Linked DNA regions of Rattus norvegicus. The protein of the gene in region 3 interacts with the protein of the main gene of each other region in a biochemical or structural test. Links are inferred from orthologs where the notes say so. Each region holds a gene or a part of one and is shown on either strand. Other genes may lie near its edges. The genes, in order: Cbx1, Fbp1, Trim28, Ube2i, Irf1, Ubc and Zfp955a.

Region 1 (4,296 bases), on a different chromosome or scaffold from region 3:
TACCCTTCCAGAGGTCCTGAGTTCAAATCCCAGCAACCACATGGTGGCTCACAACCATCTGTAATGAGATCTGATGCCCTTTTCTGGTGTGTCTGAGGACATAGACAGTGTAATTAATATGTAACAAATAAATCTTAAAAAAATTGAAACTGTCAGCTAGGTATGATGGCGCACACCTATCTCAGTTCAGGGGCTGTAGAGAGAGATGGCTCAGTGGTTAAGAGCACTGACTGCGGGGCTGGGGATTTAGCTCAGTGGTAGAGCGCTTACCTAGGAAGTGCAAGGCCCTGGGTTTGGTCCCCAGATCCGGAAAAAAAGCAAAAAAAAAAAAAAAAAAAAAAAAAAAGCACTGACTGCTCTTTCAGAGGTCCTGAATTCAAATCCCAGCAACCACATGGTGGCTCACAACCATCTGTTATGAGATCTGATGCCCTCTTCAGCTACAGTGTACTTATATATAATGAATTTAAAAAAAAAAAAAAGATGATAAAATCCAAACATACCAACTTCTAGGTCCAGTCCTCAAAGTTGGAAAATGGGGGTATCAGGCTGATTCAACAGGTAAAGGTCCCACAACCCTAATGACCTGAGTTCAATCACTAGAACAAGTGTTACAGAAGAGAATGACCCCCACCCCCAAAGTTGTTCCTGATCTCCATAAGTATGTCATGGAACACCCGCCCCCACTTTTCAAAACTAAGGGAAGCTGAAGAGATGGCTCAGCAATTAAGAGTTCTCCCAGAGGTCCTGAGTTCAATTCCCAGCAACCATATAGAGGCTCACAACCATCTGTAATGAGATCTGATGCTCTCTGCTGGTGTGTCTGAAGACAGGGACAGTGTACTCATATACATAAAATAAAAAAAAAATAAAAAAAAGTGACTAGATAGAAAATTAGAAATGCTTTCACTGCCCAAATCTTTTAAGGAACATATGACTCTTTTCCCTAGGCCTTGAACTTCTGCTGCTCCTGCCTCTACCCCCCAAATGCTGGCTGTACTCACAGATAACTGGGCTCTTTTCAACACACCACCTCCCATATATGCCTAGAGAGCATCCAAGGAAGAGCACAGGCACCAATATCCTGATTATAGTCATACATCTATCAGAAAACCTTAGATCTTTTGATTAACACAAAACTGGAGAGGACACTATATTCTAGTGTAACTAGTATATAATATATATAACTAGTATATAATTTTTAAGACTTTTTATGGCACTGAAACATAACTCAGTGGTAGACAACTTGCATGTGTGCAAGGTCCTCAGTACCAAATACCGAAATGAGTTCCATATTTCTTTCTTTCTTTTTTTTTTTTTTTTTTTTGGTTCTTTTTTTTTCGGAGCTGGGGACCGAACCCAGGGCCTTGCGCTTCCTAGGTAAGCGCTCTACCACTGAGCTAAATCCCCAGCCCCGAGTTCCATATTTCATATACTGTGTTTCAGTATAAAACTATTTTCGATGCCTGTGGGCATGCAGGACCTGCTTTCTTTGGTCCCTGCCATACCCCACTTGTCAATCAGAGGACAATTTTGTGAAGTCAACTCTTTCTTTCCACCTTTACCTGGATCCTAAGAGTTAAATTGAGGCTTACACAGCAAGAACCTTTTTTATCTGATGAGTCTTGCCTCATACAGCCTCCCTACTCACAATAAAGACCTATTAAAGGCAGAAAGTGGCCTTTTCACCCTTGACTCCTCTGGTAGCCAAGGAAGGCCTTAAATTTCCGATCCACCGGTTTCCAGCTCCCAAGTGCTAAGATTACAGGTACAGGCCATCACACCCAGCCTAATTTATGGGATACTGGGGATTGAATCCAGGGGTTTGCGGCAGGGTAGGCAAACATTCTACCAACTAAGCTACACACCCCCAAGTACCCCTTTTTTCTTCCACATTTGACATGGACACGTTAGACTTCTACCCTACTTACCCCAGCAACTCCACTTTTAGACAAGGTCAAGAAAATGTCTGACCCTTCACCCCAAGACAGGTTCAACAAATCTCTTCCCCGTTAGCACACCCGGAGCAGCCCACGTCCAATTTTACTGGAAATTACTTTTTCATAACTCTGGCAAGAGAAATTTCTCTGATAGTGGCAATTGAACCCAATATCCTCAGGTTTCTTTTTCTTTCCTCCAAGTGCTAAGGGGATTGCCCGCGATTGCCACCGTGTCCACTCTCTCAGGTTACACTTCTAAACCTTTAGTGTACGAAGTCGTGATCCTTGCCACGCACACCCAAAGTACCAAGCCTGTCTCCTTATGGACGTCCCAAAGTTTTCTTCCTTCTCCCGCCCAACTCCAGAGTTGCTGAGCCGGGTCAAACGCTCCTCGTCTAGTTCTTGAAAAGCTAACCCTCCGATGGCTCCGCTCCTCAGGAACCACTCCGCGCCCGGACTCTGGATTCACTGCCCCGCCCTCTCCACGCTCCCGCAGACCGCGAGCTCTGCGCGGGAAACCGACCGGTCGGGCGCTGGGCCGCGTCCCCAGCTCCTGTCTCCACTCTTCCGTTAGCGGCCCGCGCTCGCCCGCGGCCTCCCGCCGTCGCTCCCCCTCCCGCTTCCAGCCCGCCTCTTCACCTCGTAGCAGCGCCCGACAGTCCGAGAGGAATCGGTGTCGCGCTTCTTGCGCGTTGCGTCAGGCGGTCCCAGGGAGTAGCACCCAGAGGAGCAAACAGCCGTGTGGCCTCAAGTCGGTCGTCCAGATGAAGCGGCGTACCGCAGGCCCGGCCAACGGCCCTCCCCTCAGCCGAACAAAAGAGATTCTCACTCTGCGCGGCCCGCCGCCTGCACTGCGCAGACGCGACGACCCGCCGCAGGGCAACTTGGGATTCAGAGTCGGCCCGAAACTACAAATCCCAGAGTGCCGCGAATCCCGCGCCGCCCACCTCCACTTTCAGGAGTTGTAGAGTTTTCTTTGTAGTTTCTTTTTTTTAACTTTCTGGAAAGGCGAAGTCGACTGTTTTGAACACATAACTCTACAGCCTAGAAAATTACTGGGTAATGGTGGGGTTTGTTTGTTTAATAACAGGGTACGTAGCCCAGCTGGCTTCGGAAGTTGTGGCCTTTCAATTGCTTCAAACCTCAGAGTGCTGGATTTCAGGGGCATGCTAGTACTCCTTGCTCAGTCTACAAAATTAGGACACGGGGGTTTGGAAACTAACACGTTGATGTTTGGTCACTCTGCACTTAAAAGAAAAATCTTATCATATTCGTTACCTGAGATTTATCAAATCTCCACCTTCAATAATGTCCAGCAAGCTTATCTATTATTGCCACCTAGAAGAGGTTCCTACCTCACAGTTTGAATCAGTATTCCGTTCAGAAAGTTAAACCTCTAGGTAGACACCATCGCCACTTTCTTAATTTTCTTTTTTTCTCTCCCCCTCCTTTTTTCTTGTTTCACTTTAGTTGTTTTTGTTGAGTGGACAGGGTCTCAAGGAAGCACTTAAACGCCTGATCTTCCTGCTTCCACTTCCCAAATGCGGAGATTACAGACATGTGCCACCACATGCAAAACTTTCCCTTTGTTGTCCTTGCCAGTGGGCGACTTTCATGGTGATTTCTTCATCTCCATGAACAAACTTTATCAAACTAGAGAAACAGAACTAAGCAAAAGGCACGACTGTCATTCTTTAACAAGTGCACTAGTTGTGATTCAGGTAGGTTGCTGCTGCTAATTGTTGGGCTGGGAACTCCAGTAAGGACAGAAGACTCATTGTATCCGCCACACTCAGTAAAGTCCTGTGCTTATTGCTAGCATGCATACGGTCATGCTTTGACTCTCAGTATTTATTGGTAAAAATTCATTGATAGTCGGTTTAAGTGAATATATGAGATGTCCAACAGATAATAGAACTGATCAAATTTTCCAAGACCTCTTGTACTAGTACTCAGGATTAAGGCAGGAGGATTGTTGTGAGTTTAAGAGAGGCTTAGGCTATGTAAGGAGTACCAGGCCAGCCTAGGTTATAGAATGAGAGCATGTCTCAAAAAACCAAAACAAGGACAACTTTCCTGTTCAAAAAACTTAAGACAAAAGAAAAAGAGAGATTAGCTTCACAATATCATACAAAAATCAGTCAAAAGAGTCTGATTCTTCCTGAAAATACTTGGGTCAAGCCTCCAAAACCAGGCGGCAACCCATGCATTCTGGATAACTTTAATAGTGACAATACTAGGGGCTGGAGAGATGGCTCAGTGGTTAAGAGCACTGACTGCTCTTCCAGAGGTCCTGAGTTCAATTCCCAGCAACCACATGGTTACTCACAACCATCCGTAATGGGATCTGATGCCC
Region 2 (3,500 bases), on a different chromosome or scaffold from region 3:
TAGCTGATAACTTATTTAACCGTTTAAACTATTTTATGTCTACAACTTGGTTGGGTTAACTATCCTTCAGTCCTGGCCCACTTTTTGCTTCTCATCTCTTCAGCGTCCCCCTCAGCGTCTCTCTGAACTCATCTACCTGCTGGTTTATGTCCGTCTCCTCAGTCCTCCTCCTGTCTTGCCTCCTTCGTCTCTCCCCTCAGCTCTCTTTTACTTCTTACTATTTCCTAAAATCCCCTCTTCCTGCCAGTGTCCCACCTCCTGTTTCCTGCCTCAGTTCATTGGCCATTGGCTTCTCTATTGACTGGTGAGGCTTGTAATAGTCTCTCTACAAGTAGCTTCTACCACACATGAGTGACAACGATGTCTTCTTACAAGCCTAAGTACTAAGAATGGCTTCCAGCGCCTTGAGGCCTTAGAAGTAAGAGAAACAAATGACTAATTCTGTTTTGCTTTTTTTTTCCTTTGGAGCTGCCAGGACACTCTCAAACCAAATATGATTCAGTTATATCAGTGGCATAGGAAACAATGATTTAATTATCTGTTTTCTATCACTCCCTACTTTCTGTTCTAAATGATACGTTATCTCCCTGTCTGTCTGTCATCTGTCCATCCATCTTCGCATACTCCCAAACAGAATATAAATAGATAAGACCACTTTCCCCGCCTTGTCCTTTAAGTCCACTCAATACCTACGCACCGTGCTTGCCTTCTGTTTTCTTTGTCCAGGGCAAATATGTTGTCTGTTTTGATCCCCTCGATGGCTCATCCAACATCGACTGCCTCGCGTCCATCGGAACCATCTTTGGCATTTACAGAAAGGTAAAGTGAACTAAGGTGAAATGCACACAGCCCCTGGCTTTGACCAAAAAATAAGCATAGAGCATAAAGCTGTGTGGCTTGAACAGATGTGCAGCAAAATCTTATGACCTTGCATGTACTGTGCAAGAAAGGTCCACAGAGCTGCTGAGATACAGTGGTAGAATGCTGGTGGACCGAGAGGCCATTGCGCACTCTCAGCTATCTCTCTTTCACAAAAGACAGGGCAGATATTGTGACAACCTCCCCAAACCAGCCCAACCAGTCCCACTGTTTTCTTCTTTAAGCCGAAAGCTTCCCCCACCCCTGAGCTCTTTTCATAGGATACCGAGAACAAAGCCAAACAAGTCTTCTCACTTGGGACGACCCACCTCTCTTAGTTTAGTCTTGCTCTAGTAACTGGCAATATCCTTAAAAAGTATTTGGTTCCCATAACCGAGAATGGAACCGTAAAGGGAATGGTTGTCTGCCCTTGTGAGAGAAAAGCCCCAGGGAAACCAACCATCCAAACCACAAAAGAAAAAAAGAAAAAAGAAAAAAGGAAAACAAATTTTCTTTTCTTCCCCTGCCCGCCCCCCTCCCCCCAAGCCTCTGGTAACCTCCGTTCCCTCTCGGGTTCTGTGAGACCAGCTTTATAATGCCCTGTCCCCAGCACCTAGCTTGTCCTCTGACAACGCCAGAGAGATGCTACAAACTATGTTTCTGAGAATCTCTTTGCCATGGGAGTAACTGACCACACTGCTCAGTGAGCGTATACTTCAACTGACAACAGCTCACAGAATCGATTTTCTCATGAGACGCTCAGCCCAGCAGCCCTTGTGCTAATCTGTTTAAATAAAGATAGAAAAGGTAGGCGAAAGGTGCTGGGGCCTGTAATCAGGTTACATTCGTGGGGCTGGTGATAATGGGCGTTGCTTTTGGAAGCGGTAACAGAGACACGAGGGAAAATCAAATTAGAAAGATGTTAAGATGGAAAGAAAGATCCCGATGCCGGAAGCCAGGGCCCTTCAGGAAGCCCACTGCAATCAGAGAGCTGCTGGTGTGTGGAGAAAAGCAACACCTGGGACATCAGTGGCTTTCAAGGAAGCAAATGGTTCTCAACCTATATAGGTCTCAACCCCCTTAGAGGTTGCATATAGGGTATTTATATTACGATTTAGTACTGTAGAAAAAGCTATGAAACAGCAACGGAAATAATTTCATGGCTGGGGGGGGGGCGGTTCACGTTTAACGGGTGGTAGCATTAGGAAGGTTGAGAACCATTGCATTAGACGGCTGGACTGGAAAAAGAAAAAGGACCCCACGAAGCAAAGTGGAAACGTGCCTTTGTTTTCTCTTTTGCTTTAGACATCTGCTAATGAGCCTTCGGAGAAAGATGCTCTGCAGCCAGGCAGGAACCTGGTGGCAGCAGGCTATGCACTCTATGGCAGCGCCACCATGTTGGTCCTGGCCATGAATTGTGGCGTCAACTGCTTCATGCTGGACCCGGTGAGACATCCCTTAGACCGAGTACTTAGCTAGTAGCTTTGAGCTTGGACCTGGTTGGTGTGTGTGTGTGTGTGTGTGTGTGTGTGTGTGTGTGTGCGCGCGCGCGCGCGCGCGTGCCACCTAACCTGGGCCCGGAGAACTGACCCCAAGTCCTCTGGAAGAGCAGGAAGTGCCGAACCATCTCTTCAGCTCTCTCCTCTTTCTCCCCCCACCCCACCCCATCCCAAACAAAACAAAACACAACCAAAAACAACAAAAACCACGCACACAAGGTACAAAGCACAGCATGGCGTCCTCTGTGAGAGGCCTGGGAGAGATTTGCTCGGGGTGTGGCAAAGTGCTGTAAATCAGAGCATGATCTCTACCTTTGATCTGTGCATGCTTAACAAAACTGCACTTTCACCTTCCTGGGGGCAGGAACATTTAATTAATCAACTAATACCGGAGAGGAGGGGTGGCCACACGAATCAAAATCTCGGCATAAGTCCCCAGGGGAAAGCAGGGCAGGTCCAGATGGAACTTTAATCTGAGAGAAGGGCACAGCTTCTGAAAGCAGTGATGACTGCCAAAGTGTCACCTGTCCAGCTTGTCCAGTCCTCTGGATGAGCTCCCGGTGCCCCCGCTCTCACTTTTGAATAGACAGACATTTGGGGGAAAATTCAGTCTCTTGACTGCCGACTGCATCCGGGCTTGTGAATGGCTGGGTTTCTCCCTCCCCAGACACAGATGTTTTTGCTGGATCAGTGCAGCCGCTGGAATGCTCCCTTGCTGATTGCCAGGGATAGTTTCGATTTGCACCCTTTTGCTCGCTCTCTTTGGCCTGATGGAGGCAAGACTACTCCGGGGAGACGGCTAAGTGCCTCTCCCTTTCCTCGTGTCTCCCCTGCCAGGACTGCTAGGCTGAGACCCACCTGTGGCTACAAGTGGGTTTCTAGCAGGCTTCGGCTTTCGTTGAGCTTTTATAGCTCCTGTCTCTCTATGTGGGAGACTCTCCTTCACCTTCTGGGTACTCAGGCTGGGTACCAAGATGGCTGCCTGGGGAGCACGGGGGCCCGAGCTCTGCTGGTAGTTCCGGTTGCTTGCTGTGAGATGGTTTCCTTTTTCAGATGTTTTAGGTAGAGATATTTATTTTGTCTTCCTGACTATACAGAAGTATTCCTGTAAGTTCGTGGCCCAAATTTTTAGAAATAGAAACC
Region 3 (4,172 bases):
ACCAAAGTGGGCTGGCAGCATCCAGACAATGCATACCTCCATCTAACACATTCAGTGAGGTGTTTAATACTAACAATCCATGACAACAGATGAGATTTAAGCTAATGACTGTCTACTCATTATGTGCTGTTATGGGTCATAGCAAGGATAATAATTCAAGTATTAACGCATACCTTCAATCCTGGCACCCTAGACGTAGACAAATCTGAGTTAAAGGCCAGCCTGGTTTATATGTTTCCAGGATAGCCAGACTCTGTAAAAACAAGAACCCCTTGAGAATCTACACACAACCCAATTTGAGTGTTAAGCTTTTGAGTAGCTGCAGGTCTAAATATGCTATCTGGCCACTGGGAGGCATATTGCACACTTGAGAACTCCAAGTTTCACCAGAGACTTGTACAAATAAATCTTTCACCCTGCCAAATGAGGTAAGGTCCCCTGTAGAGTATCATGCAGGCAGAGTCTAAGTCCTCAGGAACAGTCCCCAAACAGCTGAGGAATGAGCGACTGACTCAGTGAAGTTTTTATTAAATCCACAGAAGTAAAAACCATTTTGTGAGGAGGGACTGAGGGATGGGGCCAGCAAGAACAGGTAGTCAGGCCACCAGAGGAAGGACAGGGTATGGGTTGAAAATACAGAGACCAGAGCTGGACTGGGCTGACCACAAGAGCCCCAGCTTCAGGGGCCATCACCAGGACCAGACAGCTCCTGAGAACTTAGGCCAGCACTGGGAAGGTTCAGTGGTGGTGGTTCTACCAGCACAGCAGAAAACTTGGTGTCACCAAAGGCATCATTCATTCGTGTCTCAAAGAAGCGCTGGAGGCCGATGATGGACTGAACATCTGCCTTGTCCTGGTCCAATTAAGAGTACACTGGTGAGTGGGTTCTGGCTTTTCTTCCCCCTGCTGCCCCCTCCCCACTTCATTCTGCAGGCTCACCTCAGTCAGCTTATTGAACTGTTTGAACATGCGGCCCACATCCTGGGCAAACTCCTGGGGGGAGCTATAAGGAGGTGACAGCTTCTCTTGGAGGCGAGCACGAATCAAGGTCAGGTCTAGGGTACCACCAGGCTGCTCCTGCAGGGAGAGACAACAGACATTGAGTGGGGCTACCAACTTGACACCTGCAACCTCTCCTATTCTGGGACTACTCACCATGGAGAATGTAGAGTCGGTAGCCAGCTGATGCAAGGGGCGGCACGGTTCATGGCAGAAAAGGGCCAGCAGAACACGCTCACATTTCTAGACAGACAAGAGATATGAGAGTTGTAGCACAGAAGGCCTTAGCTACTGGGCCACCCAACACATGTGCATTCGGCCCTCACCCGCTGGTTGGCTGGTGAGAGTTTAGCTACCACACCAGTGCTATCTGCTCCATCCAAGCTAAGGCTTCCATCTTCCTCCTTTAGATCAGGGAGCACGTGGCAGAGTGAGCAACTCCATTCCTCCCTAGGATGAAGAATAATAGGAGTTGTAAAAGATGACAACCAACTCTAGTTGTAAAAGATGACAACCAGCCCTCCACGATCTGATTCTGCCTGGCTTCACACATACCCTGGAACATCCTGCAGGGAAGGGAGGTGACAATCCAGGTGGAAGCAAAACTCGCACTGGTTGCACATGACCAGGTCACCTGGCTTCTGGCATACACGGCAGATAGTGGCACTGTCATCCAGGATACCTGGCCCACTTACTGGGGCTGAGGTAACCTCAGGAGCTACCACCTCCAAGCCTGAGCTGGTACTGCCACTAGGTGAAGCTAGACGAGGTCCCTCAGCCCCAGGGCCTTCAGTCAGAGCCATCAACACAGGCTTGGTTTCAGGCCCCTCAGGGGCAGCAGGAGGGGCTCCAATAGCAGCTTCTGTCTCTTCTTCCTGCAAGACAGATTGAGTGTTAGTATCAGAATTAGTATCAGAATCTAGGGTAGCAGGTTTCACTCTCTAAGCATCATCCTGTATGTAATTAAGACAGGCTTACCTAGGAAGCGCAAGGCCCTGGGTTCGGTCCCCAGCTCCGAAAAAAAAGAACCAAAAAAAAAAAAAAAAAAAAAGACAGGCTTACCTTGACAATGGCCATGCCAGGCAGGGGTGGGGCACCAGGGGCTCCTGGTGGCACAGTCCCAGCCTGGCCAGCGGCTGCTGCAGCAGCACCACGCTCAATAACAATTAGATTGTAGTCCTCAGTGGTGCTTCCAGGAAAGACCTTGAAGACTGGTGGCTGGCTATCAGAGGTGAGATCCAGATCCAGGCGTTCAAGGCTCACACGTGGCACCTTCCTCATGAGGCCACTTACTTCTCCCTCACCAGAGCGGGACCTATTAGTATATCTTGTCATGAGCTCACATGCATCCCTACCACACCAATCCTGTACCCCCTGCTACTTCAATGGGTTGCCATACTTACCGCTTCATGCCTGATACATGTGGCTCTGCACTTGAGTAGGGATCATCTGCTCAGAAAACAAAAGAGTTGGCAGAAAAGACAAAGACAGGGAGGGTACTTACCAAGCCCAATTTCCTAGGCAAAGCTACCTACCTGTCCCAAAGCCATAGCCCTCTTGTACTTCCATGGGCTAAAGACAGAAGAACAGAACATGTACCATCAGCAGGGATATAAGTAAACCCCCATGGCCCTCATTCCCTCTCCTTGGTTCCTCTACCCAGCTCACCTGGCTACTACCAGAACCTTGCTTGCTTAGGGGGCCTGGGGCTCTTGGAGGAGCCATGGGCCCAGGACCCGTGGAGTTTGTACCAGGACGCTCAGCCACAATCTTACCTGAAGAAAAGAGAAACCCCATTAGGCACAATACTGCTTTGAATGCTCCCATGGTTGAGCAAAAAAAAAAAAAAAAAAAAAAAAAAAGCAAAGGACTAAGTAACCTACCAAAGGCTTCAGCACTCTTGGTCCAGGCATTGAGATCCCACTGAAACTTCATCTCACCATGAGGCTCCACAGGATCCACAATCATTTTGAGGGCCCGATGCAGCTGGAAATAAATCTAATGGGGCAAAAATGTAGCACATAAGCATAGTTGGCAACTTACAGGATCCCAAGGTGCTGAGGGGCCACCTAGCTGAATAATGAAGGCCACCACTACACACCAGCTTCTTAGAGAGCAAGAGGGCTGTATTGTTATCACTCTCCAAAGCCCAAGAGGCAAAGCGCAAAATGTGTTCCTGGTGCTTCTGGATTTTGGTCATGGTCCAGTGCTGACGCTCCAGACGTTCCTGCTGACCCTCAGTCACCTTCTGCAAGTCAAGGAAAAAACAGCCTCATTAAAGAAAGCAGAGCACTAGGAAGGATCCTTCTCCACCCTGGATACTGTCATGTCAGCCACCAGCAGAAGCAGACCAATACCATTCCAGCACTAAATTTTACCTGGGCATCATTGACCAGAACTCGTCCCCGTTTATTCAGCTCCTTCATGATCTGCAGAATGGCCATCTTCACATCAACCTGCACTCGCTTCTGCACATCAGACACCTGGCGGATCCTAATGGACAAGTCAAGTCAAGCCAGAAACCTTGCCCTGGGACCCCAATAGCCCTGGCACCGGAACTTACGAGCTTCGAACCTCCTTGGTGTTTTTCTGCAGTGTGGCATGTTTGTCCCCAAGACGTTTCACCAGTGAAGCCAAGAGTTTACGTTGGTTCCTTACTGCATCTTCCAAGAATTGGTACCTGAGACCACAAAAAAAAAGTGAGCCTGCATGCAAAACTTAAGAAATGGTATCCAACAACCCCCTACGCCTTGAGACTCACTGGTGGTCCTTGTGAGCATTGAGTTGGCAGTCCCGGCAAGTGAGCGTGTCACAGCTCTCACAAAACAGCACAAGGGGTTCATGCTTGTGCACATTACAATAGACTGTTCGTTCTCCATCTCGAGTCTTAGCAGGACCTAAGAAATAGGAATTGCCCTTAGTCACCTCCAACTCAAGCAACAAAGAAAACAAACCCCTTATAACCCTATCCCAGCTTTTCCCAAAACCCTGGCCCATTTATTAAGACCTAGATCTGGAAATTTTACTCCCAAATGACCACACCAACTAACATTATAAGGAATAAAAACAAGCTTATGAAAAGACAATCTACTTACTATTTCTCAGTTATCTTTCCATCTGCCAATGAACCATTGCCAAATAAACAAGGTCCTGATGGCTCAGAGTACTTAACA
Region 4 (4,299 bases), on a different chromosome or scaffold from region 3:
GATTACAGGCATGAGTCACTCCACCTGGCTCCTAGACCACTTTTTCCTTTCCTTTATTTTTGGAGACATTCTCACCATGTGGCCACAGCTGGCCAGAAACATACTATGTAGACCAGGCTGGCCTTGACAATTATGCACCACAGCACCCTAGACTGCTTTTGATGACTGTACAAGTACACAAGTAGAGAAAGGCTGGGACTGCCATCAGAGGTGGCAGCATCACCCAGGAGCCTAGAGTTCAGGAAACATTTTAGTGGGTGAGGTCACTTTTAGACAAACGCCTGTATTGGCATTTTTTTTTTTCCGGAGCTGGGGACCGAACCAGCTAGGCAAGCGCTCTACCACTGAGCTAAATCCCCAACCCCTGTATTGGCATTTTTAATATCCTGTACACTCTAAGCCAACATGAAGAAACTTTCAGAAGCACAAGCTGGGAGTGGTGAGATAGCTCAGCAATTAAGAGTACTACATGCTCTTCCAGAATACCTGGTTTAATTTCCAGCACCTACATGGCAGCTTATTTGCCTGTAACTCCAGTTCCAGGGAACCTGACAACCTCACATAGAGGAATGCAGATAAAACAACAATGCACATAAAATAGATTCTAAAATTAAAAAAAAAAAAAAAAAAAGCACAAGCCGCCAAGACAAGCCTCGACAATGTTGGCATTCCTAAGCATACCTAGCTCTATCAAACATCCTGATTCCTTTTTTATAAATCACAAAAGGCAGCACCTATGTTCCACAGCTCCAGTCCCAAAGCACAAAGTGTACAAACTAAAGGCAAGGCTCCTCTCTTACCGACCTCAAGTCTAAAACACAGGGTCCAGCCCAAACCCAACTGTCTTTCCCCAGCAAGGAGTAAAGCCTGTCTGCGAACAAGCACAACCACGGAGGTTCTGGCCACCCCAACACCTGCCCTAATAATAGTCCTTGTAGTCAATGTAGGACCCAGGTGGCATCCATCTAAGAGGACAGGCAGTTTGCTGGCCACAGGGGCTGCTGATAAGAGCAAGCTTTGACAGCAACGCCCAGGTGACACTGGCGCACCTGAGCTGTCTGGTTAGAGGGTATGAGGGCAGAGGTAGACCCAAGGACATCAATGGCTGGAGCAGGGCACAGAAGCCTATGTATCCAATGTGTCCCTCTTCTCAACTTCTCAATGCACAAGCCCAATCTCGTCCTCGGGCTTAAGGGTACAAGCACTCTAGCTTCTTTAACTAAGGGTAGGCAGTGAAGGAGCTGCTCTCCTCACCCAGCCAGTCAGATGGCAGAAGATCCCAAGCAAGTCTGGGCAGGGTTTCCAAACAGGTCTCTGGACCCCGGGTCAGTTCTCTGAAGAAGCCTGGACACTATGCTACACAAGCTGTTGGACAGCCATAACTGACCTCAGGAGAAAGTTGTGTGCCCAGAAAACTCTGTCCTAGCATCCAACTGCAGTTATCCTAAGTGAGAAGAACCGAGAAGCTAGCTCAAGTGGTGGCTCGTGCCTGCACACTCAAGTGTTAAGGAGACTGAACCAGGGGGACCCCCAAGAGTTCAAGGTTAGCCTTGGCTACAAGAGATGCTGTCTCAAAAGCAGGGAGGCAAAGTGAGAGACGGCTCTTACCAGAGCTCTTAAAGGTCCCACGGTCAAAGAAAAGGAACCCTAGAGACACACTGGCAACGATCTAAGCAGAAACTGGTCCTTGAGACAGTGCCGCTGCTCCCGAGAGCGGTAACAGTCACTCCACGAGCTAAAGTTTTGTGATGTAAATACACCCCTACCCCCGGCAAAGAAAAATTCGAAGGAAAAAACCCCCAAAAAACAACAAAATACAATCCTCTCCCCACTACTAGAGACCGGCAGAACACAGAGGGATGGGTCTTTCTACCACCTCAAGGTTCCTGCAGTGTGCAGTATTCGTCTGGCGACACCACCTACTTCAGAGTTACTTACCGGTCAGAGAACCTGTGCAAGGTTGCTTATCTCCGCCCACCTCGGCAGAGGAAACGTGGGTACCGGCCACTAAGGCTGGCTTGGATAAGGCTAAGCGGCCTCTTCTACTCGAATGCACACTCTAGGCCCTAAGGATCCTTCACTAAGTATACCACGCCGTTTCTTGAGTTTCTAGTGGCAGAGACAGCCAGAGGAGGGCAGGACTGCAATCACTCACAGCCTGAAAACCTTTAGAATCAAAACAAATTCCCCTTTGATACCCGTTTTCTGCTATGCAGAGAGGTAATTCATCCACTAAAACGGTTCCTTAAGAAAAAAGAACAGTGGGGCAGAGAACATGCACAAGACCCCCACAAAAACCCAAACTACAAGCCTAGCGTCTCAGCAACGAACGAAGTAAGCCAAGCCTTCTGCTGTGACTCCGGGTGCTTACAGGCCGCGACACGGCCCAGTGCCCACGGCCTTCCTGCACTCCCGCTCGCCTAACTACGGAGCCCAGCACCGCCCAGAATGTGTCTAGGAGCTACTGGGAAGCTCAGATTATCTGTTGTGGGGTCGGCGGAACTCAGTACGCCAAGAGTAGGGGGGTAGTGGGCCGTGTTCCCAACCCTGCATTCGCCCATGGCACAGCGGCTGGGCCCTATTGCCCCGAAGGCCGAGACTCGGAGGCGGGAGGAGGCCGCGAGCGAGAGGAGGCCGCTGTGGCTCCGCTCGGCGCCTCCCGGAAGCTCACTGGGAACGGCGGCGACTCCAGGCGAGGATTGGAGTGCGCGCGCAAGCCGGTGGCGGCTCACCTGGGCGACCGCGGCCCGGACCGTCGCGGCGGCAGAGGCGGCGGCGCTCCTTTGTCTCGGGACTTCCCTCCGCGCCCGCCGCGCGCAGCCCGGAGCGCAGGACCCCAGCGGGCGGGGCGGGGCGGGGCCTGAGTTGGGCTGCCCGCCGCACGCCTGCTCAGCGTACCGTCTTTCCGGTCCGGCAGCCTACGCCGTCTATTTAAACATGAGCTTCGCTCAGCCCTTACTCGGTTGCTGCGCTCTCGTTGCCCGCGACCACCTACAGAGCTGGGGCCCGGGGCGCCTGTCCAAGCAGGCGGTCCCCTGAACGGCCGCACTCTTAAAGGGGACGCGACCTAGGCTCAAGGGAGCGTCTGCAAACTCCTCATCGGGATCAGCGCGTCCACTCGAGGACACATCAGAGAGTCGTGTGAAGAAAAGAAAGCATAGATTTCCAAGGGTCATTCGGATGCTCAGAGGGCACCTTACCAGGCACAGGCTCTGGAGGTATCCTTGGGCTCAAGGCCCGAGTCCCGGGAGCAAAGATCACTGAGGCCTAAACATCCTGGGAATCGTCGCAGTACGGTGACGATCCCCGGAATACGGGGCGTTGAGACATTTTCTGTAATTGGCTAGCCCTGGAATTTGGGCGGGGTAAATCTCGAACCTACCCAATGAACGGACCTAATACAAAGGACCAAACGCAAACAAAACCGACGGGGAGAGAAATGTGGAAGCTCCCTAACCTACGAATTAGCCCTCGGTGGGGGAGGGGAATGGGCCGGAACCATGGGGGAGGGGCAGCACCCGAGAACTCCCCCGCCCCTAATCCTCTCCCCTATGCTGCACCCCACACCTCGTTCCACCTGAAACCCCTGCGCGGCTTCTGTTGGCACCACTGGACACGCTGTTGTCACTCCGTGGCCTAGTCCAGTTTCCTCCGCTAGTCCTCTGCAACCCAGCTCGGTGCTCGGATGCTTCCTCACCGACTCACCGACGGGACGGGTACTTAGAAACGTCGGCTGGCCCCCTGGTGGCCATCCTGGCGCCTGCTCCATTTTTTGGCACGTGCCGGAAGCCTTCGGGGCCACTTGCAGCCAACAAGGGCTTCCTGGGATATCTCAATATGAGCCCTGTGTTGCTGGAGACTTCAGTGTTTATCTGTCAATGTCTCCATCCATTTACTAACCTTCGTCCTCGTCCTCCTCTTCTCTTCTGAGGCTGTTGGGTGCCCCAGAACAGAGACCCAGGTCCCATGCCCTTTGCCCATAATTGCCCACCGTTCCCTGGAGCTCACCCTGTTAATTTCTCCAGTTCTTTGCCGTACTGTTTTAGAGTTAAGATCACGATGAGCACCAGATCCTGAGGGACCTTATTCTCTCATTGGGGCTGAGTTGTAGATGAGGTCTGCTTAGATACAGGTCCGTGACACCCAGTTGTGGTGGTTGGTGACCCCAGCAGATCTGTACCCCCAACAGAAGGCATCTATTTTGGATCCATCCCAGCCTGCACAGCAGCTTCCAAGACTGGTGGCTCCTGGGCACCTACATATGTTGACCAAGAGCAGCCCTGACCTGTGCATTGTACC
Region 5 (4,002 bases), on a different chromosome or scaffold from region 3:
TGAGAGGCCACCCAGAGCATGGATGGTAGCCTGTATCCCCTCTGTCTCTCCTCTGCCCCTCCCCCACCCTGCACACCTGTGTGAATGGCCCAGCTCCGGAACAGACAGGCATCCTTGTTGATGTCCCAACCGTGCTTGGCAGCATGCTTCCATGGGATCTGGAAGATCATCTCTTCCTGAACAGTGCACATAGAAGACTGTGTCAGCTCCGAGTGCGGCTGAGTATGCACGGGTCCCCAAGTATGGGAAAAGGCTGACTTCCCCTTTTCACCCCGACATCTGGCCTAGATTGACCCATCCCAGCTGCCTTTAACGGGTAGGCGCTCTGCATCTTTTAGGAAGGGGGTCTAAGTTCTGACGAGCCACAGCACTAGAAGGTCAACAAAGACACCCCTGCCTTAGCTCCTGGGGTAAGCAAGAACCTAAGCAGTGCCCTCTCGGCCCTGGCCTGGCAGGTGTTGGCTGCTTGTTTATCTCTGGCTAATGAGCATTGGAACATGGAAACTTCTAGCTGCAGTCTCCTCAGGACACCAAGCACATTGGCTCCTATATAGGGTCCTGCTCATACACCCAAGGGAGCCCTGGGCCAGACCTGGATGAGGACTGCCTGTATAGTACTGGCCTATTCCTCTCCCCTTAAATAAGACAGAACTCAAAGAGAAAAGGTTTATCTATGTGTGGGGACAACAGCCACAATGAATAAGGTTTTGCTTTTATTTTTTAATTTTTATGCATGTATTATGTGTGTACGTGTTGGACGTGCGCGCAAGCCGCGGCACCCGTGTACAGGTCCAAGGACAACCTGTAGGAGTTCGTACTCTCCTTTTCCATGAGGAGATTAGGGATCAAAGTCAGGCTGTCAGGCTTGCTGGAAGGTGCCTTTATCTGCTGAGCCAGCCCTAAGATGAGGATCTTACCACCATTCTTGTTACTACTGGCTAACGTATCCATTTTCAACCAAGTTTGGGTTTCACACTTTTTACCACCTTGTAATCTATCTTAAAGTGCCTCAGTTTCCTTCTCTGAGACCCACCTCTCAGGATTACTATGACAATTAAAATGTGCAACTTGGTATCATATTTAAACGGTGCTAAGCACATAATCATTATAACCAATGCTGTCACTGCTGCTCTACTGCCAGGTGTGCCAACTGTGACTTCTTGGGTTCCTACTTAACTAGCCCTGTTCCTAACCAGCATCGACCGCTTTTCTGTCTCCTGTCTATCCAACTGGAGCTATGTGGAATGTTAGGGATACAGCATTTCTCTTGGAAGAGAAGACCCCGGGCTCTGCAGATGCTGGGAAGTCTTGGTGCTGAGACTGTGCCTGCCACTAGGAGGGTGGACTGGCCACAGCTTCAGGAAGGAAGAAGCAAGCGGCAGAAGTCAGACCTTAGCCGTTCTGGCATGCAGCACCCACTAGGAAACACATTTTCCTGCTCTCATGTTCGATAATGGAACTTGAGTCCCCCCAAGAGAACATGGGTTAAAACAGCAGAAATACCCAGGAGAACACTCACTTTATTGATCCAGCTCAGCCCTGGAATTTGGTTGGAATTAATCTGCATCTCTAGCCAGGGTCTCATTCGCATCCGAGTGATAGGCATGGTGGCTGGAGGGAGAAGACAGAAGGCCTGTGTTTAGAGTCTGTTAAACAATCCTGGGCACTGCCCTGCTCCACCCAAGGCCGATCACTCAATTACCTTCCCCGGTCCTCACCCAGGTCGTTACCCTCCCCCACTCTCCTGCCATCAACCAGGTAACAGGTCCCACAGTCATAGAGAAAGGACCCTACAGTAGAATGAAACTTGGCAGCACCATAGGCAAAGCCACCTGCCCATTATCTCGGTCTCTCCCAGCCAGCCTCAGGAAGAAACAACCAAGCAAGTCTGTCTGAATGGTTTCAGGATATATGTACAAAAAAAAGTGGGGGTGGGGGTGCGCAAAACACATAACTTTTTTTTCTCAAAATTCAATCTTTGGAGGATGGAAGGGACTGCTTTGCTTGTTGTCACCCCCAGCTCTACACCTTCCAGGCTGGGCAAGCAAGTCACCCTCCAGGGCACTTCCCCCCACCCATTCCAATCCAGACTACATCCCCTCTTGACAGCTAGTGCCCACAACATACAGCCCGGGGCACAACCCCTTCCGGCCTGGTTTCCCCTGCTGCAAAGAGAAGTGGCGCAAGCAACACCTGTGGCACCTCCTCCCGAAAGCCTTGTAGTTCACGACCGGGTCCAGCCAGTCAAGGCAGCGAGCCAACCTCTGCCACTGAACACTGCGCGTTCGAAACCTACAGCCCAGGCGTCAAGCTGCGACCGCCAAAACTGCGCGCGGGCGGACATCCGAGTCCCCGGCGCTGCTAGCGGGTGCGCGCGATGGCCGCTCTGGGCTACCGAGAGGCCCCGCAGCGGCTCCGCGCACGCAGACCGCCGAGCGCGGCCAGGGGGCGGTGCACGCCGCGGCCCGCCTCCCGGCCGCTCGCTCGCGGCGCCCTCCCCAGCCAGCGAGCCACCCCGACCCAGGGTGTCTCTGGCCCCCACTTCCTGGTGCCCCGGGCGCCTTTTGTTTCACGCCGCCCGTCCGTACCCGTGCAGCCCCGGCGGGCTTACCTTTGCTGCAGGAGCGAGTCACAGAGGGTACCCGGGAATGAGGCACGGAGTTGCGGTGTAGGTACACGATGCGTGCACGGAGCGAATGATGCCCGAGATGCTGGGTTCCTCTGGCCACCGCTGACCTCGGCTCAGCTCGGCCCGGTTCGGTTTGGCTCAGACAGTGAGAGCTCGTCCTACCTCGACGAAGGAGTAGTGCGCACTGGCGAGTCGGCGGCGCCGCGAAGAAATCTAAACACTTAGCGGGATTCCCCGGCCCGAACTCGGCCACGCCCCCGCCGGGCCGCTCGCGCGCGCCCATTGGCCCACTTCGCCTCATCATTTCGGGGAAATCAGGCTGTTGTAGAGCTAAGCGGCGAAGGGGAAGTACAAGGCGGCTGCGCTCCCCACCCCCTCGGCCCGCGCCACCGCCCCGGGGCTCCCGCGGGCCCGCCCCGTGCTCCACTCCACCCCCGGCCCCCTTGCCTGTCTTGGAAAGCCGAGGCCCTCCCTCTCGTCCTGTAGGCTCCTAGCCTGCTGGTTCATGTGGCGGTCTCCCCCTTCTCCTCCACCGGAGACACCTAACTCCCTAGGTCTCCAGAACACCTGCTTCCTTCTCCAGAAGGGACCCCCGGACCGAATCACCCTGAAAATCAGTCTGGTAATGAAGTGTCAAAAAGGGAGGGATTCGGTCCCTATACTGCTTTAGATGATAACTCTCTTAACGGCCACTTGCTGCTTTGAGAAGTTGAGGCAGAAGGCCTAACTTAGAATGCAAGGCGGTAGGAACTCCCAGCCTGGACTCTGCAGGCACAGCTGTTGAAGGACGCAGGGACTCTTAATTTCCTTAACCTCAAAATGGCAATAGCCCACTCACTAGTCTGCAGCGATGGGAGTTTCAGGGAGACACACCGCGTCCTGATGGGGAGAGATGGTGTGTGTGCTTTCCTGTGCCTCACGAGGTTCTAGCAGTGAACAAGGTGACCCTTCTCCCTTGTATCTCTGGGACTACCTGAAAGTGGAGAAAATTCAGAAGTGACTGTGGTTCCTTCTAGGACTCCTGCTTCAGCTCTACATCCTCTCTGTAGCCTTTGGGAGAAAGTTCCTCTCTGATAGTCTTGAAGGCATTTCTGAGTCCCCAAAGCCTGGCTCTGGAGAAGTTCCGGGCAGCATAGGGAAACTGTGGCCAGAATCGGGGACCCAGGTCCCAGAGGGTTGGCAAGGGCAGCGGGTTAACTAGTGCGCAAGAGTAAACCTTGCCAGTTTGTTTTCTCCTAGCGGCTGGGCTAGTGTGTACATGTTCCATGCCGAACTCTGGCTCCTCGGGCTTCTTCCTTCACTTCCCCACAGCATTTACATCAACCCTCTATGGTGTCATTCTCCTGTGTCACCTTCCTCGCCCTAGCTGTCCG
Region 6 (4,235 bases), on a different chromosome or scaffold from region 3:
TTGCCTTGACATTTTCAATGGTGTCACTGGGCTCGACCTCCAGGGTGATGGTCTTGCCTGTCAGGGTCTTCACAAAGATCTGCATGCCCCCTCTGAGGCGAAGGACCAGGTGCAAGGTGGACTCCTTCTGGATGTTGTAGTCTGACAGGGTGCGGCCATCTTCCAGCTGCTTGCCTGCAAAGATCAGCCTCTGCTGGTCAGGGGGGATGCCCTCCTTGTCCTGGATCTTTGCCTTGACATTTTCAATGGTGTCACTGGGCTCGACCTCCAGGGTGATGGTCTTGCCTGTCAGGGTCTTCACAAAGATCTGCATGCCCCCTCTGAGGCGAAGGACCAGGTGCAGGGTGGACTCCTTCTGGATGTTGTAATCTGACAGGGTGCGGCCATCTTCCAGCTGCTTGCCTGCAAAGATCAGCCTCTGCTGGTCAGGGGGGATGCCCTCCTTGTCCTGGATCTTTGCCTTGACATTTTCAATGGTGTCACTGGGCTCGACCTCCAGGGTGATGGTCTTGCCTGTCAGGGTCTTCACAAAGATCTGCATGCCCCCTCTGAGGCGAAGGACCAGGTGCAGGGTGGACTCCTTCTGGATGTTGTAGTCTGACAGGGTGCGGCCATCTTCCAGCTGCTTGCCTGCAAAGATCAGCCTCTGCTGGTCAGGGGGGATGCCCTCCTTGTCCTGGATCTTTGCCTTGACATTTTCAATGGTGTCACTGGGCTCGACCTCCAGGGTGATGGTCTTGCCTGTCAGGGTCTTCACAAAGATCTGCATGCCCCCTCTGAGGCGAAGGACCAGGTGCAAGGTGGACTCCTTCTGGATGTTGTAGTCTGACAGGGTGCGGCCATCTTCCAGCTGCTTGCCTGCAAAGATCAGCCTCTGCTGGTCAGGGGGGATGCCCTCCTTGTCCTGGATCTTTGCCTTGACATTTTCAATGGTGTCACTGGGCTCGACCTCCAGGGTGATGGTCTTACCAGTTAAGGTTTTCACAAAGATCTGCATTGTCTATGGAAAAAAAAACAAAAAACAAAAAACCAAAAAACAGGTCAGGAATGACACAAATTCTTTAGAGTGCCACCAACCGTTGGATCTGTGAGGTGGCTAGTAGTTTAGTCTAAATAGCTACACAGACTGTTTTGAATTTTACCCCCTAAAACCAACAAGAAAATAAAAGTCTTGATGGAACAAAGTTATGAATATTAGGCATTGTCTATTACCAAGTTGGCAGGGTGGAGCGTTCAGTACGGAACTGCTGAAAGTCAGTCCCTGACTATTTGCAGTTTGGAGAAAAGCCTGACCCACATTTCACCTTGGGGGAGGGGGGTTTAGGAGGACCCACTCCAAAGAAGTCAGAAACTCAAGAGCTTAGAAGGCAATAGTTGGAAATCCCGGATTCAGGTCCCGACTGGTAGATAGAGCCAGTTACTACTACAAAACTGAACTATGTTCATATCTTTCCTCCCAGCACTGGGGACACTGAGGTGGGCAGATTTCGTGAATTGGGAGGTCAGCCTGAGACAGTGAGATCCTGCCTCAACTCTCCTTCCCCCAAGCTTTTGTCTGAACAATTAAACAGTAGTTTACTCTTACTCTTATCCTCTTAACCTCTTACTTTCACCCCATCTGTCCCTTCTCTCCCCATTCTCCTCCCTGCTCTCTCTCCACATGTTCCGACCAGCTTTACTCCCTCCTCAACTCCCCTTCCCATGCCCTGAATAAACTCTATTAAAAAAAAAAGTAGTCTGGGGTAAGTGGCACTGGCCTTGGACCTCATCACATGGGTGGTAGAGGCAGAGATTTTTTTAAAGTTTAAAACCCTTGTCAGGCTGGTAAGATGACTCAGTGATTAATAGCACTGACTGCTCTTCCAGAGGTCCCGAGTTCAATTCCCGGCAACCATATGGTGGCTAACAACCATTTGTAATGAGATCTGATCACACCTCTTCTGGTGTGTCTGAAGAAATAAATCTTTTTTTTTTTTGGTTCTTTTTTTCCGGAGCTGGGGACCGAACCCAGGGCCTTGCGCTTCCTAGGCAAGCGCTCTACCACTGAGCTAAATCCCCAACCCCTGAAGAAATAAATCTTAAAAAAAAAAACACCCTTGTCTAATAAATAGTTTCCGCAGCCATATCCGTGTAGCGAGACAAGGAAAGACTCAATGTAAGTCAGGCTCACGTTCCCCCTCTGAATTTCCGGTTCCTGTTTACTCTGGAGAGGCTACCCGAGGCCGAGACCCAAACCCGGTCCTACAACTGAGGGAAAGCTAAAGCCATCGTCACTATACACTGTGAGACCACACAAACCGCGACGTCACAGGGGCGATAGGCTAGGCTGGACCGCCACCCTCCCCCTCCCTTCCCAATCGCACTCCTGTATTTAGCAACCGACGAATTCCGGATAACCGACATCTCCCTCCCGTCTAATACCCACAGTTCTCACATCAGAGGCTCCTACAGCGCGCCAACCGAATTCAGTTCCCAACCCAAGCCTCTGACGTTCCCGGCTTAACCGGCGGCAAGCGGCCTCGCGGGCCTGCTTCCCCCAACCTGGTCCAGCGCGTCAGGACCGCGCGTCTTCCCCCTCAGGCTTCCATTTGGCCGCCATCTTGCCGCCCGGTCCTCGGCCTCAGGACAGCAGCCGTCCTCGCGGGCCACGGAAACCAAACGTCCGGGCCGCGGGCTGTCTCTCGCCCCCTCCCGCCTCCCCGCCCCCGCCGGGTGTGGCGGCTTTCTCCTCACCAGCGGTGTTGGCTGCAGTCCTCACAAAAGAGTAGAGACGGAACTGGCGGTCTCCACGGAACTAGCTGCGGGACGCGAGGCGTCTCTTTATATAGTCATCGGGAGCCCCGCCCACCCCTGGATTCCTCCGCGGAAATGCGGTTGGGGACTACTTTTTAATGCCCGGTCCAATCTCTGCAATGGAAGCGACAGGCTAAAACCATTAAGATCGCTTCATGGGGTTGTTCCACTGCGAAGGCCAGAGAGTGAGGGGCTTTGTGTGGAGGGGCAGGACTGCGACCTTGCGCGACCCCGCGGAGGGATCAGCGCCTGTGACGTGATCGGCGCTAAAACCCGGCAGGGATCACTGCAGCCGGAGCGGACCTCGGCGCAGGCGCACTGTGGCTAAGCGAGCCGGAGACCCACCAACTACCCCCCACCCCCTCCGTCAAGGGTCCCAGTCGCCTCTTTCTGTTAGGGGGACCTAGGGCTTTGGCTCTTGTTACACTGATATTCCATTGGTGGCCTCGGCTCCTAAGTTCCCTCACCTCGAGTCGGTCGTCACTGTGCCCAGCCCTCTTTGTTTTGGCACGGTGACAGGATGGATGACTGTGCAAATCTCATAACAAGGGAAATGACAACGGTTTTTTTTATTTTTTATAAAAAAAATGGGGGGGGGGGGGATCTCTCCCCAGTTTGGGAAAACGAATCTGAATTCGTCAAGAAAAGCAGTCAGTCCTCACAGTTCTTGAAAACTGTTGGCATTAGATCTGAAGCCCAGTGGGCACTAGATCTTTCCAGATTCTTCCTAAGTCTGTTTATGTCTGGTGTCCTTGGATTCGAGAAGGTTCTGTTTTCTGTTCGATTGTCACTAAGGAAAGGTCAAAATATCAAAATGTTGTTCATATTCTGAGACTGAACCCATCGAAATCCTATTTTTTTAATTTTTGTTGTTCAGACAGGGTTTCTCTGTATAGCCCTGGCTGTCCTGGAATAGGCTTCGTAGACCGGGCTGGTCTCAAGTTTACAGAGATCCTTCTGCCTCTGCCTCTAAGTGCTGGTCTACAGGGCTACACAGTGAAACCTCGTCTTGAAAAAAACCAAAACCAAACAAAAACCCACACACACACACAAAAAGTACACGTTTAGTACAATGTTCAGATTACAGCAAACATATACCCCACTTGTAAAATTCAGCCTATTCAGGTTTTTGAAATGTAAGGCCTGAGACCTTAGAAGGTAAGAATTGAATCCCTAGGGTAGAGAGATGGCTCAGCAGTAAGAGCAGGTCTTCTTCCAGAGTTCAATACTGAGCAACCCTGTCAGGCAGCTAGCTTACAAAGGCCTTTGACTCCAAAGCTTCTCAAGGCTTCAAGGAGGTCCAATGTCCCTAGGGGCACTCACATACATGTAGCATGCACACACACAGACACACACACTATTAAATGCCTTTAATCTCAACCTTTTTCTTTTTTGAGATTTTTTTTTGAGACAGGGTCTCCATATGTAGTAGCCCTGGCTAC
Region 7 (4,291 bases), on a different chromosome or scaffold from region 3:
TAAAAAGTTATGGAGGTAACCGACAGCTTTCTGACTGAATTTGAGGCCCACTCCACAGGAGTCATAAAATGTCAATATATCTCTACACAGTAACATCCTACTCCACACTCAGTTCTAGGTAGGTTACATAAACTAATAATTAACAAGAAAACCTGAGGGTTAAACTGTAACAGATAAAATGGATGTATGCTACTCAATAGAAAAAGAATCCATTCTGTTCTTCTCCTTTGTTTGGAGACAGAGTATGACTCCGTAGCCCTGGTTCACCTAGAACCCACTAGCCTAGACCAACTGGATCATGTTGGCTTTGAGCTTAGAGATTGCCTCTGCCTCCTAAATGCTAGGATTCGCCACCATGCCCAGAAGTAAGAATCCTGTTCAGCAATCCAGGCAACCTCTTCTACTGTAACATACAAAAAAGGCAGATGGGGCTGGTGGCTTAGCCAGTTAAAGTGCCTGCCACCTGCGTGATAGCCTGAGTGGATATCTGGGCTCCACATGGTATGAGAAAACAGATGCCTACAAGCTGTCCTGGGACTTCCACAGCTGTACCATACCAGCATCTCCCCCAGTCCCCACCATGTATACACAGAAATAAATAAATACAATTAGTCGATTGAAACACAAATTTTTTAAAGATGCCAATACCTGTAGTACTACAGAGATGGCTTAAAGACTGATCAGTGCATGTGAATGTGTGCGGAGAAATTATCCTGCATTATCTCATGTTTAGAAAACCAATGAAAAAAGGGGGTTTCCTCTATTATTTCATAATACAAAGACAGTAGAAATGTGTTCTATTATGTGAGCCTGAACAAGATATGCCACACTGTAAAGAGGGAGCGGGGATTTCCAAACAACACAGACCCCTGTCATTGCTTTTGGTCACCAATCACAACTACGCTTTAAACGGAACCACTGAAGGAACCACAGACTCTGGCCGCAGGGCATAACAAATCCTGCTGCTCTCTAGCTTTCAAGATTCCAGAAGGTGCGATGCAGGCTGCTGAGGTGAGAAAAGGCATAAACAGTCTTACTGACCCCGTGCTGGACCCTCCGTGTGGCAATACTGATCTGCCAGGCAAGAGCCACAAATGTTACAAGGGTAGCTAACCACTTTAAAAGTGTATTTTAAGGCCTCCTCCACAGGACAGAATTCCATGTCTGGGACTATAATAAAGGTCAAAAGACAATGGCTGAGGAGTTCGTAGGCCCGAGGACAGTGCCTGATTTTGTTCTTTTGCTAAACTGTTACACTGCCAGTATGCCTTACACATATTTATATTTAGCCTCAGATCTGGCCACTAGCACTCAACCTAGATCACGGATGCTTCTTTCTACAATGGGCAGTGTTAAGTCTCAAATCCTGGAACAAAAGGATGAAGTGCCTACTTAACATGTCAACGCAGGCACTGATGATCAGGTTCTCCCAGCATCCCTCAGCACCTATCCATTATGGGCCTTCTTGGCTGGCATATTGCCCCCTACTCTGAACTCTCCAGCCCAAGGCTGTTATTTCTATGTAATCAAACCATTTTGGTCACTCACCTTTGTACCTCTGGCCTCCTGGCTGCTGCCTCCAGTTCCCCTCTCTCCCCTCTCCTTTCCCCTCTTCCTTTCTCCTCACAGGGCTCAGGGTCCTCTCCACTGTGGACTCTCCAAAATGTCTCTGCCTCTGGCTATGCTCTCCCTGTTAGCTACAATAAACTTTCTCCTCCACCATACCTAGGAGCAACTTCAGGTCCTTCCTTTCTCTTTCTTTTTTTCATTCTAGGAGCAGTCAACAAAGAGATGTATAAAAGGTCAAAAGAAATGCTGACAATAAAAGACAAAGTGCTCAGTTGTAAATGGGACATCTATACCTAACCCCCAGCTGCGTCCACCACAGCTCAAGGAGCATCTTGGAAGAGGAGGCAAAAGGAGCTTAAGAACCAGAGAAGACAGAAAAATACTGCGAAATGCTGGGCATGGAAGAGTTCTGTGATATGCTGTCTTCTGGACATGGCAGGGATATTGTACTTAGGAGCTCACAAAGCTGTGGGGAGAGGTACAGTCCAGGCCCACAACTTACTAAGTAGTTACTGGCAATTAACAGTATTTTTGGAGAATAGTTCTGTTTAGAAGAAGTAGCCACTGGTAAGGTTCCCTTTCCAAACATCCATGCACATACTCGCAACACTTACTGGGGGAATAATAAAAATGATGATGATGATGAAGCTGGAAGAGAGGCTATTGGAAATATATAGGACTTTGAACGAGAAATAGGGATTGATTTTCGAGACTAAAGAGAAATTTTTAAAAAGAACCCAGAAGGATCACAGGGGTAAGCTAAAGCAGGTCGAGTGGGAGTACAAGGGCGGGCAAACAGAACTCTCCACCCACTCCCCCCGCGTTGGAGTCTGAGCAGCACTAACCAGTCAGCGCTGCAACGTCTGCAGCAGCTCAAATTCGTGACCCGGACTCATCCTGACAAGACCTGAACTACAGTAAAACAGCTTCACGGCGACAGGACAGGACACCAGACTCCCTTTTGGCTTCTCTGCTCACAATTCAAGAGCAGGTGGTAAGACAGAACCGGAGATAGACTCCTCCTCACACTCAGCTGCACAGCGCCAGGGGAACGTCAGGGCGGCAGCGCCACAGTACGCCACAGTCACCGCAGTGTCACAAACCCGCCACAAACGATTCAAGGAGCCCAGGGCACACTCACCATCTTCTGCTTCCGATGCATCCAGGTGTCCTCCCTAAGCGAAAACACAGTCAACAAGGTCGATGGAGCACACCTCTCAACGGTTTCTCGGGACTCAAACATGGCGGCAAAGGCCGCACCTTCCGAATATCCAGGCTTCTCATTGGACGGTTAATGCTAAGTCGTAACAGCTTTCCTGATTGGCGACTGATAAGCGGGGCTGCGGGACCCGGTTGGGTTGGAGATGGTGATCATCTAATAATCAGGAGAGCATCCCTTCCCTGGAGGGTTACAGTCAAATGGACAGGTGTCAGTTCCTTGTTCTGGGATACACCTGTTTTCCTTCTGGGATAAACCTGGTCCAATCTGGAGTAACCAAGTATTTGAGAAAAATACGGTCAGGGTTTTTGGAGCAACTTTCCTGGCGGTGTATATAGTGGACCACAGTGGAGTTTTCCACTTAAAAATACTGCAACAAGATTGATGGGGTAGTGTGGAGATTCAGTACTTCAGAATCAAAATACATGATTACACGGTAGGAGAGATCCCTAAAATCAGTCTGGACACGGGATCAGAAGAGGGACCTGACATGTAAACTCCAGGATGATGCAGGTGAAATAAACTGAACCTTCTGTAAGGCTGATATATTGATATCAGTTCTATTGATATAGAACACCAGGAATTGGAAAGGGTTTAGACTGTTACAAGTCCATTACGTTGGGGGAGTTTTTACCTGACCTAACAACTATATGACTACTGTGAAAATCATTTGGAATATGCAATAGAACAGTAGTTTCCTTTGGAATGTACAGAGCACTAATTTTGTAACCACCCAAAAAGACAAGAACACTATTAGAAGGCCTACTCCAGACCTTTCCTCCTTTATAACCTGTCCACCTTATGTTTCCACCAAGGCAAGAAAATTAAAATACTCCAACAAGGATACAATTATTCAATGTGAGAGGTATATGTATCTGTTTGTGTAGTTACATTGTAGCAATAGTATACAAAGGACGCAAGAAGTATGAAAGGGAACTCTTAGAGTTCTTCAAAAGAAAAAAAAGGGGGGTTCTATACCCGGAAAGCCTAGTTCACAAGTGCAAACATCCCCAAGACTCCGAATCATAGTAGCTGCTGTCAGAGACCCCCAGAGTCATTATTGATGAGTCAGAGACACTATTCCAACAGTATAACTCTTAGAGGTCCTTAGGACATCTCTCGTTTCTTCTATCATGAAATCTTTCTTTCAATATTTTAATATTCATAAGAGGAACTGTGTAATCCCCATTCATATTAATGTTTTACCTAAAGAAAGCTACCACATACTTTCACTCATATGTGGAAACAACAATCTGGAAATAAAAACAAAAAAAAAGACAAAACAAAAGTAGTAGAGGGACTATTAAAGAAGAACATGAGGATTTCAGAGGCTACAAGAAAGAGAGGAAATAATAAAGCAGTCATTAGGAGGTCAGATATGATCAATCCATAATATATATCACATATATATGTGACAATATGTCACAAGGAAAGCCATGAATAGGTTTAAAAATATGGATTAATAATTTGGCTAATTAGATTTTGAGGAATTTTTAATTCTCT

What was found.
Region 1: the proteins of Trim28 (region 3) and Cbx1 form a complex in vitro, tested with the Homo sapiens proteins (3 studies listed by BioGRID). The link is inferred for Rattus norvegicus from reciprocal best matches to the Homo sapiens genes TRIM28 and CBX1.
Region 2: the proteins of Trim28 (region 3) and Fbp1 form a complex in vitro, tested with the Homo sapiens proteins (2 studies listed by BioGRID). The link is inferred for Rattus norvegicus from reciprocal best matches to the Homo sapiens genes TRIM28 and FBP1.
Region 4: the proteins of Trim28 (region 3) and Ube2i form a complex in vitro, tested with the Homo sapiens proteins (6 studies listed by BioGRID, with this or other methods). The link is inferred for Rattus norvegicus from reciprocal best matches to the Homo sapiens genes TRIM28 and UBE2I.
Region 5: the proteins of Trim28 (region 3) and Irf1 form a complex in vitro, tested with the Homo sapiens proteins (2 studies listed by BioGRID). The link is inferred for Rattus norvegicus from reciprocal best matches to the Homo sapiens genes TRIM28 and IRF1.
Region 6: the proteins of Trim28 (region 3) and Ubc are reported together in a solved structure, tested with the Homo sapiens proteins (2 studies listed by BioGRID, with this or other methods). The link is inferred for Rattus norvegicus from reciprocal best matches to the Homo sapiens genes TRIM28 and UBC.
Region 7: the proteins of Trim28 (region 3) and Zfp955a form a complex in vitro, tested with the Homo sapiens proteins (2 studies listed by BioGRID). The link is inferred for Rattus norvegicus from reciprocal best matches to the Homo sapiens genes TRIM28 and ZNF93.

Annotation. Positions count from the first base shown.
Region 1 is NC_086028.1:82,265,266-82,269,561, reverse strand, and holds the start of Cbx1 (chromobox protein homolog 1), read right to left. Parts: upstream 2,801-4,296; 5' UTR 2,580-2,800; exon of another isoform or gene 1-2,579. UniProt on the Homo sapiens protein: Component of heterochromatin. Recognizes and binds histone H3 tails methylated at 'Lys-9', leading to epigenetic repression. Interaction with lamin B receptor (LBR) can contribute to the association of the heterochromatin with the inner nuclear membrane.
Region 2 is NC_086035.1:2,227,207-2,230,706, forward strand, and holds part of Fbp1 (fructose-1,6-bisphosphatase 1), read left to right. Parts: intron 1-726; coding exon 727-819; intron 820-2,163; coding exon 2,164-2,304; intron 2,305-3,500. UniProt on the Homo sapiens protein: Catalyzes the hydrolysis of fructose 1,6-bisphosphate to fructose 6-phosphate in the presence of divalent cations, acting as a rate-limiting enzyme in gluconeogenesis. Plays a role in regulating glucose sensing and insulin secretion of pancreatic beta-cells.
Region 3 is NC_086019.1:82,727,895-82,732,066, reverse strand, and holds the end of Trim28 (transcription intermediary factor 1-beta), read right to left. Parts: intron 3,897-4,172; coding exon 3,761-3,896; intron 3,680-3,760; coding exon 3,563-3,679; intron 3,493-3,562; coding exon 3,378-3,492; intron 3,248-3,377; coding exon 3,101-3,247; intron 2,998-3,100; coding exon 2,883-2,997; intron 2,775-2,882; coding exon 2,668-2,774; intron 2,572-2,667; coding exon 2,535-2,571; intron 2,449-2,534; coding exon 2,403-2,448; intron 2,315-2,402; coding exon 2,062-2,314; intron 1,875-2,061; coding exon 1,555-1,874; intron 1,450-1,554; coding exon 1,326-1,449; intron 1,243-1,325; coding exon 1,156-1,242; coding exon of another isoform or gene 1,078-1,155; coding exon 940-1,077; coding exon of another isoform or gene 854-939; coding exon 680-853; 3' UTR 501-679; downstream 1-500. UniProt on the Homo sapiens protein: Nuclear corepressor for KRAB domain-containing zinc finger proteins (KRAB-ZFPs).
Region 4 is NC_086028.1:14,795,455-14,799,753, forward strand, and holds the start of Ube2i (SUMO-conjugating enzyme UBC9), read right to left. Parts: upstream 2,801-4,299; 5' UTR 2,733-2,800; intron 2,078-2,732; exon of another isoform or gene 1,939-2,077; intron 1-1,938. UniProt on the Homo sapiens protein: Accepts the ubiquitin-like proteins SUMO1, SUMO2, SUMO3, SUMO4 and SUMO1P1/SUMO5 from the UBLE1A-UBLE1B E1 complex and catalyzes their covalent attachment to other proteins with the help of an E3 ligase such as RANBP2, CBX4 and ZNF451.
Region 5 is NC_086028.1:38,416,733-38,420,734, reverse strand, and holds the start of Irf1 (interferon regulatory factor 1), read right to left. Parts: upstream 2,801-4,002; 5' UTR 2,612-2,800; intron 1,612-2,611; 5' UTR 1,607-1,611; coding exon 1,520-1,606; intron 177-1,519; coding exon 77-176; intron 1-76. UniProt on the Homo sapiens protein: Transcriptional regulator which displays a remarkable functional diversity in the regulation of cellular responses.
Region 6 is NC_086030.1:36,899,065-36,903,299, reverse strand, and holds the start of Ubc (polyubiquitin-C), read right to left. Parts: upstream 2,801-4,235; 5' UTR 2,734-2,800; exon of another isoform or gene 2,171-2,733; intron 1,001-2,170; 5' UTR 998-1,000; coding exon 1-997.
Region 7 is NC_086025.1:13,417,361-13,421,651, forward strand, and holds the start of Zfp955a (zinc finger protein 955A), read right to left. Parts: upstream 2,801-4,291; 5' UTR 2,732-2,800; coding exon 2,711-2,731; intron 2,651-2,710; exon of another isoform or gene 2,415-2,650; intron 1-2,414.